2 linked regions of the Sus scrofa genome follow. The protein of the gene in region 1 interacts with the protein of each later gene in a pairwise test. Links are inferred from orthologs where the notes say so. Each region holds a gene or a part of one and is shown on either strand. Other genes may lie near its edges.

Region 1 (4,127 bases):
TGCACTATGTACTGTGTGAACGACTATCATAATAAACAAATAATAATGGTTTTTCTTAAACAGTAGCAAGAAAAATGCTTGCTGTGCAAACCCTGGGCTGCCCCCAAGGGAGGGAATTGAAAACTCCATGCCTAAATGTGTCACTTCCTATTTCGTCTCCTCTCTGATTTCAGTCCTTCCTCCTTTCCACCCCAGGTTTATTTCCTTAATCCTCCAGACCCCATCTGCAAGCTTCCATCCTGTGCCACATTGGAAGATCTCTCCCAGGCACCTGGGCTCAGCAAAGCCGTCCTTTTTTTTTCTCCTGCTGGGTAGTAAAGCAGTGCCAGCCCAGGCTCTGAGCCTCATTAAATTGATTAGGCAAAGAGTCAGGTAAAATGCTGTCTATACTTGCTCCGTGGCTCTGGCCAGCTCCGGATTATCAGGGAGGGGGATAACTCCAAAGCCTCTTTGGTGTTCTTCTTTTCTTTTTTTCCTTACATGGCTTTTGCGAAGGGTAATTAATTGTGATTACACGCAGTAATAAATTACAATGTATAGGCCTTGCGCACAATCTGTTTTTTTCCTGAAAGCCACGTTAGAAGAAATCTGTCTAAAATGAGATGTAAAACAACAGCAATTGAAATAATCGAAATAGGAGTTCCCGTCGTGGCGCAGTGGTTAGCGAATCCGACTAGGAATCATGAGGTTGCGGGTTCGATCCCTGGCCTTGCTTAGTGGGCCGATGATCCGGTGTTGTCGTGAGCTGTGGTGTAGGTTGCAGACGCGGCTCGGATCCCGAGTTGCTGTGGCTCTGGTGTAGGCCGGTGGCTACAGCTCTGATTCGACCCCTAGCCTGGGAACCTCCATATTCCGTGGGAGTGGCCCTAGAAAAGACAAAAAAAAAAAAAAAAAAAAAAGAAAGAATCGAAATAAAAGGTTCCAAGCACTGTCAAAGGAAGAAAAAACCGTGTAGTCTATTTCCGCAATAATGGGTGTATAATAGAAGGATCGGTTTCACCTCATTTTCCCATCCTGCTGGGCAAGAGTTGGCTCAGATAAGGAAAAAGAGCCAAACACACCAGTTATTTCTGATGCCCGGTAAACAGCCTGCGCCAGAGGAGAAGGCTTTCTGGCTCTCAAATAAGAGTTCTTCGCTTTACTTGTGTCTGTTCTCCTCCCTCCGAGCTGCGTGGTGGGGAGTTCTAAAAATAGTCGGTGAATCACCGCAGATAATACCGTGCAGCCGTTACATAAAGCGCCGGCCCGCGCGGGAGCCGGGGCCGAGGGTAGGAACGGAAAATATCTGGGTCACGGTTGTCACTCTGAATAAGTTCCCCCGGAGCCGGCCTGCGGGAGGCGCGGCCGGGAGGAGGCTTGGGCCCGCGGGCCGGGAACAGCAGGGGAACGGCGGGCGGCCCGCGGGAGGGAGCCGAGGCCCGGGTCGGGCGCGGGAGGCGGCGCGAGCGGGGCGGGCGAACTCCGCGCGGTCTCCCCATGGCGGGGAGCGGGCCGCCGCGGCGGCGACGCTGACCGGCCGGGGCGGGGCGGGGCGGGGGCCTGGGGCCGAGGGAAGATGAGCGCTCTGCTAGAGCAGAAGGAACAGCAGGAGAGGCTGCGGGAGGCCGCGGCCTTGGGGGACATTCGGGAGGTGCAGAAACTGGTGGAGAGCGGGGTGGATGTGAACTCCCAAAATGAGGTCAACGGCTGGTAAGTGGGGAGCGGGGGAGGCCTAGGGTCAGCGCTGACAGCCCGGGACGCGACCTCGGCCTAGCGCTGCCCCAGACGCCCGCTTAGGCGTGGCCGGGCGCTCCGGGCCTCCGAGGCTGTGCGCCCTGGAGGCCAGCCCTGGTCCCCCTGCTTCGGGTAGTCTTCGGCGCGTCGTGCCCAAGTCCCGGCCCACGTGGTCCTGCCCCGGCAGCGCCCACCCGAACCCTGGCGCCCCGCCGTTCCCCCCCCCACCCCCTGCCCCAAAACGTGGCTGGAACGGCGCTGGCTGCGAATTCTCACCCTAAGATGGAGCTCACCCCAGTTTGAATCCTCAATTTTCCTGAAGAACACATCTGTGCAGAGCAAAAAGCATAAAACAACTGAGCATATATGAATCTTATAAACTAACAATTTCTTTTCCCAAGACTAGGGAAAAAAAATCACTTGTATTCTTCGTGGGCTTCCCCTCTCACTACAGCAGTGATTTGCTGCTACCTCCAGCTGCCTGTTGCAGGAAGACTCATTCATTTATTCTATAGAGTGTTTTGTTTTGTTTTCTTAACAACAGTTTCAAATATGAGACTTTATCCAAGACTTTAGATGCCTGCCTGCCATGGAGTTCTTCCCAACTAATAAGAAGTCTCAGTTTAAGATGTGCTGGTGGTGAAATGTTTAGTATTAAGTTACAGAATGTGGTATTATTCTGCTCTCTTAACATCTAAATTTTAATTTTTTTACTTGGTCCAGGTAATGCTTAACCAGCCTATTTTGCTAGCTGAGAGTTAAAGTGAGTTTGCAAATGTTATTTACCTATCTGTCTATCTATTTATTTCTGGCTGCCCCTGCAGCATTAGGAAGTTCCCAGGGCAGAGATGGAACTGCGCCACAGCAGTAACCAGAGCAGTGACAACATCAGGTCCTTAACCTGATGAACCACCAGGGAACTCCACAAATGTTTTATTTTTTAAAGGGGAATCATACATTTTAAGACCAAAAGGGACGTGGGAGATGGGTTCAACCCCAGAGAATAACTTGCCCTAGGTCACACAACAATTTTAATAAAATAGCCAGGACCAGAATCACCATTTCCTAACTTCCTCACAAAGCCTACCTAACCTCCCTCCCTACCCTAAAGAAAATAGCCTGGGTGTCTGTCCGGAAAGCCAGGAGACAGTAGAAACTGCCTTTTTGTTTTGTTTAAAAGTGTTTGCAAACTAGCTTGCTTTTCTGTGTGTGCCATTTCTAGCATTGCTCTGTGGTTCATGAGCTGTCTTCATTGTTTTGGCACTGGGAGGCAGTGTTGTGTAGAAGAACGAGCCTGCTTTCCTGCAGGATCTTCTCCATTCCTGCTTAACAATACAATCTTGCTCACATCACTTAATTTTCCAGTTACTTCAGAAGAGTATTGTCAACATTTAAGAAGATGAGGCAAGACATACCTAGCTAACATTTATTGGGCTTGCCCTGTAGCACAAAGATTCCACGTGCTTTATTTCATTCACATCTACTCAAGGATATAGCTATTGTTATTCTCTCCAATTTGCAAATGAGGAAACTGAGGCTCAGAAAGATTAAGTCATTTCCCCAAGGTCACAGAATTCATAGTAACTAATGGAGCTGGGAAACAAATCCAGAATCTGACTCCAACCACCCTCCTTTATTTGACTGCACCTGCCACGGTAGGTGGAATTTCCTGAGCCAGGAATTGAACATACACCACAGCTGTAACCAGAGCCACAGCAGTGACAACGCCAGATACTTAACCTGCTGAGCCACCAGGGAACAACAAACCCTGCTTTCGTTTTTTTTTAGGGCTGAAACCTTCGGCCTATGGAGGTTCCCAGGCTAGGGGTCAAATCAGAGCTGTAGCGGCCAGCCTACGCCACAGCCACAGTAATGCCAGATCCGAGCAGTGTCTGTGACCTACACCACAGCTCCCGGCAACGCCGGATCCTTAGCCCACTGAGCGAGGCCAGGGATCGAATCCGCAACCTCATGGTTCCTAGTCGGATTCATTTCCACTGCGCCACAGCAGGAACTCCCTGGCTTTCATAGATTTAATTGAGGAAGATGTCTAATAGGACTTCAAATTCAACATGTCCAAGGTTCAGTTCCTGGTCTCCCTCATACCCCTAACTGCCCCCAGCCTGCTCCTGAGTTCTCCTCTCAGCATCTGAGTGCACAGGCCAGAACTTTTAGTGCCTCCTGTCTTTCCCTCACATCCCACATTCAATCAAGCTGCTAATACCGCCAGCTCCACCTTCAGGATATAGTTGGAGTCTGACTGCTTCTCACTAACTCCACCACTACACCTCTGGTGCAAAGCCACCATGGTTCTGTCACTTGGATTAAGGCAGTAGCCTCCTAACTAGACTCCTTGCTTCTACCCTTCTATCCTATATCTTTTCTTAACACAGCAGCCAGGAGGATCCTGACTG
Region 2 (3,515 bases), on another chromosome or scaffold:
ATATTTATTAAGCAACTCTGAACTGCAGACCTCTTAGATCTGCTGTGAGAATTTAAAGAGCTGCTATGTGCAAAGCACTTAGTTTAAGTACTACTGATTAGTTACTGTTATTATTGTTGTTGTTATTATTATTGGCAGGTGCCCCAGGCTGAGAACATAAACAAAACCGTGTGTGTGTGTGTGTGTGTGTGTGTAACTATGTATGTACATGTGTACGTATAATTTTATCACACTTAATCCTACTAAGAGCCCTATGATTTAAGTACTACTATCATCCCCATTTACAGATATAAAACTGAGGTTCCCTGATGGCATAGTGGTTAAGGATTCAGCATTGTCACTGCTGTGGCTCAGGTTTGATCCCTGGCTGAGAACTTCTGCATGTCACAGGTGTGGCCAAAAAAAGAAACAGAAAAAAACCTGAAGTTTAAAAAGGTAACTCACTTGTCAGAGCTACACATTAGCAAGTGGCTGCAATTTGAGCCTGGACAGTCTAAAGACAGGCTCCATGTTCTCGATCTCCATGCTTATTTAGTAAAAAGCTAAATACAATGGTGCAGCCTTGGCTGCACATCAGAATCATGTTGGGGATTTAAAAATGGGAATGCTGGAGTTCCCATTATGGCTCAGTGGTTAACGAGCCCAACTAGTATCCATGAGGACATGGGTTCGATCCCTGGCCTCACTCAGTGGGCTAAGGATCCGGCGTTGCTGTGAGCTGTGGTGCAGGTCACAGATGCAGCTCGGATCCTGTGTGGCCGTAGTTGTGGCTGTGACGTAGGCTGGCACCTATAGCTCCGATTTGTCCCATAGCCTGGGAGCCTCTATATGCCATAGGCGCGGCACTAAAAAGACAAAAGACGAAAAATAAATACATAAAATAAAAATGGGGGTACCTAGGCATCACTCCAAGACTTCAATGTAAGTAGCCTTGAAACCAGGCCCTCTTCCTCCCCATCCACTGCCCAGGTTTGTCAGACCTCTGCCTCTGCCCTCCTTGGTGTCCAGCCCACGAGCACGCCCCACCTTGGCACTCCATCCGCTATCCCAGCTGGCAGGGCTGGGGCTTCTCACCTGGGGCTTGATGTTCACCTTCTCCACTGCGTTCTCGTTCAGCCACTTGACATCGATCTCCACGTCAAAGTGTCCGATGTTACACACGATGGCGTCATCTTTCATCTGCTCAAAGTGCCTGTGGGGGAGCCCCAGCCAGTGGCAGGCTGTGAGGGACAAAGAGCAGTCCCAAGTGTGCCCCCTCCCTCACTCCCTGGACCCACCCCACCTGGCCCCTACCGGCCGAGGATGATGTCGATACAGCCCGTGGTGGTGACAAAGATGTTGCCCTCCTGACAGGCCTCATCCATGGTGGTCACCTCATAGCCTGTGTAGAGACAGTATCTGTGGGTCACCCAGAGTGGCTTCCCCCTCCTCTGGCCCCGTGGCTGACAGCCGACCCTCGCCCTATCATACCCTCCATGGCAGCCTGAAGTGCGTTGATGGGGTCGATCTCCGTGATGATGACGCGGGCCCCGAAACCCCTCAGGGCCTGGGCACAGCCCTTGCCTACGTCGCCATAGCCCGCTACCACTGCCACCTTGCCCGCAATCATCACGTCTGTGGCCCGCTTGATGCCATCTATGAGGGACTCCCGGCAGCCATAGAGGTTGTCAAACTTGCTCTGAAAGGAGAGGGGGCAAGGGGGCGATAGGGCAGGCAAGGCCCCAGGGCCTCAGACCCACTCTCAACATCTCAGCCTTGTGGGCCTTGGGCTGCTGATCACCTCCCAGGATTTCTCTGGGACCACCAGCTAATGTGTTCATATGCTCTTTGCCCTGTTCAGCCCCAAGACTTTCTCCCTAGCCCTTCTCTGCCAGTCCACGTTTCCTGAGGATCAACCACGAGGGACTGCCCAAAGAATCGGCTTCACTTTAAAGTTCTCGCTGCCCAGCTCTGAAGATCACTATGTAGTTCTTTGCCTCTTTAATGCACTTATTACCGTCCATCTACAACCCCTTCCCCCCTCAAATGAGGGCTAAGTCCCTAGCCTGCAGCCTTCCAAGGGGACTTTCTTCAGGGCTTATTCCTGAGCTGCACTGGGAACCAAGACTACAGCCATCACTGTCCCACAGGCTCACCTTGGTGACAGAGTCATTAACGTTGATGGCAGGCACCTTCAGGATCCCGTTGGCCTTCATCTTGTACAGGTTGTGGACTCCCGTTGTGGTCTCTTCAGAGATGCCTCGGATGCCTGAACAAGAGGGGACGGGGAGAACCTCAGGCCAGAAGGGGCTGCCCAAGGGATGGGGTGGCCTCTGGGATGAGACCCCAAGAGAGAGCCCACATCTCAACTCACCCCATTTCCTCATCTTTGCCTCCTAAAACCACTCTTTTTTTTTAGAGTCCTGTCTTCTGTTACCTGTAGCACAGTCTACTCATCACCTAGGCCAGCATGATGATGGAGGTGTCACCACCATCACCAGGCCTAATGATTCTACCTCCCAACAGCTCCCAAACCTTCCACTCCTGTTATCACTGCCCAAGTCCCTGCCATCATCATCACTTGCCTGGTCTCCCAGCCACAATCCATCCTCTACACAGCAGCCATTTTTTACATGTACATTTTCAGAGAAGTCTTTCAATACCATCCAGTTACTTCCCTTTGCTCTAAGGGTCAAGCCAAAACTCTTTTCTCTTAGTCTATTAAATCTTCACACACTTGATCTTCATTAATGCTCCAGCCACATCCTGTAATTCTCCCCAGTGAAGAAAGGTGCCATGCTAACTTTCTGTTGCCCAAAATGAACAGTCTCTCCTTTCCCGCCTCAGGGCCTTTGTATTCACTAATAGCATCCCCTACTTTCCTCCCCACCCAGCTTTTAACAAACAAAGCTGACTCCTCCCCTGACCTGGTGGTTTTTTTTTTCGTTTTTTTGTTTTTTCTTTATGGCCACACCTGCACTATGTGGAAGTTCCCAAGCCAGGGACTGAATCCAAGCCAAAGCTGAGCCAGACCACAGATCCAACCCTCGCCTCTGCAGGGACCCGAGCCACTGCAGTCAGATTCTTAACCCACTGCACCACAGTGGAAACTCCCCTGCCCTGGTCTTACACTTGCCCTTGGACCACAGCATCTCAGCCAGACCTCCCCTAGCCATCCCAGCTCACCTGCTATCCTCCTATCTTCCATGGAATCTGCTGCTCGAGGCACTGAGTGTCCTGCTGGGCCTGCTACTTTCTCGTGAGTAAGCAAGTCCCCATTTACACCACCAGCACCCAGCCCACCCACTGGGCCAACTCACCTGACAGGAGCTCTGGGTACTTGGTGTGGACGAGGTTGGTAAGGTCACCACCATCATCCAGGATCATGTTGAGGGGCCCATCCTTGAAGTACAGTGTCTGCTCAATGCACCACAGATACTCCTCGTCCGTTTCACCCTTCCAGGCATACACTGGAGAGTGAATGGCACATCAGGGTCTGGCCGTCCCCACTGGCACCTACTCCAGGGAACCACCTG

Evidence for each region.
Region 2: the proteins of ANKRD40 (region 1) and AHCY interact in binary tests that used the Homo sapiens proteins (3 or more experiments, as listed by UniProt). The two-hybrid records come from large-scale screens. The link is inferred for Sus scrofa from reciprocal best matches to the Homo sapiens genes ANKRD40 and AHCY.

Annotation. Positions count from the first base shown.
Region 1 is NC_010454.4:26,992,950-26,997,076, reverse strand, and holds the start of ANKRD40 (ankyrin repeat domain-containing protein 40), read left to right. Parts: upstream 1-1,316; 5' UTR 1,317-1,555; coding exon 1,556-1,689; intron 1,690-4,127.
Region 2 is NC_010459.5:37,730,874-37,734,388, forward strand, and holds part of AHCY (adenosylhomocysteinase), read right to left. Parts: intron 3,450-3,515; coding exon 3,300-3,449; intron 2,249-3,299; coding exon 2,136-2,248; intron 1,679-2,135; coding exon 1,471-1,678; intron 1,382-1,470; coding exon 1,294-1,381; intron 1,193-1,293; coding exon 1,075-1,192; intron 1-1,074. UniProt on the Homo sapiens protein: Catalyzes the hydrolysis of S-adenosyl-L-homocysteine to form adenosine and homocysteine. Binds copper ions.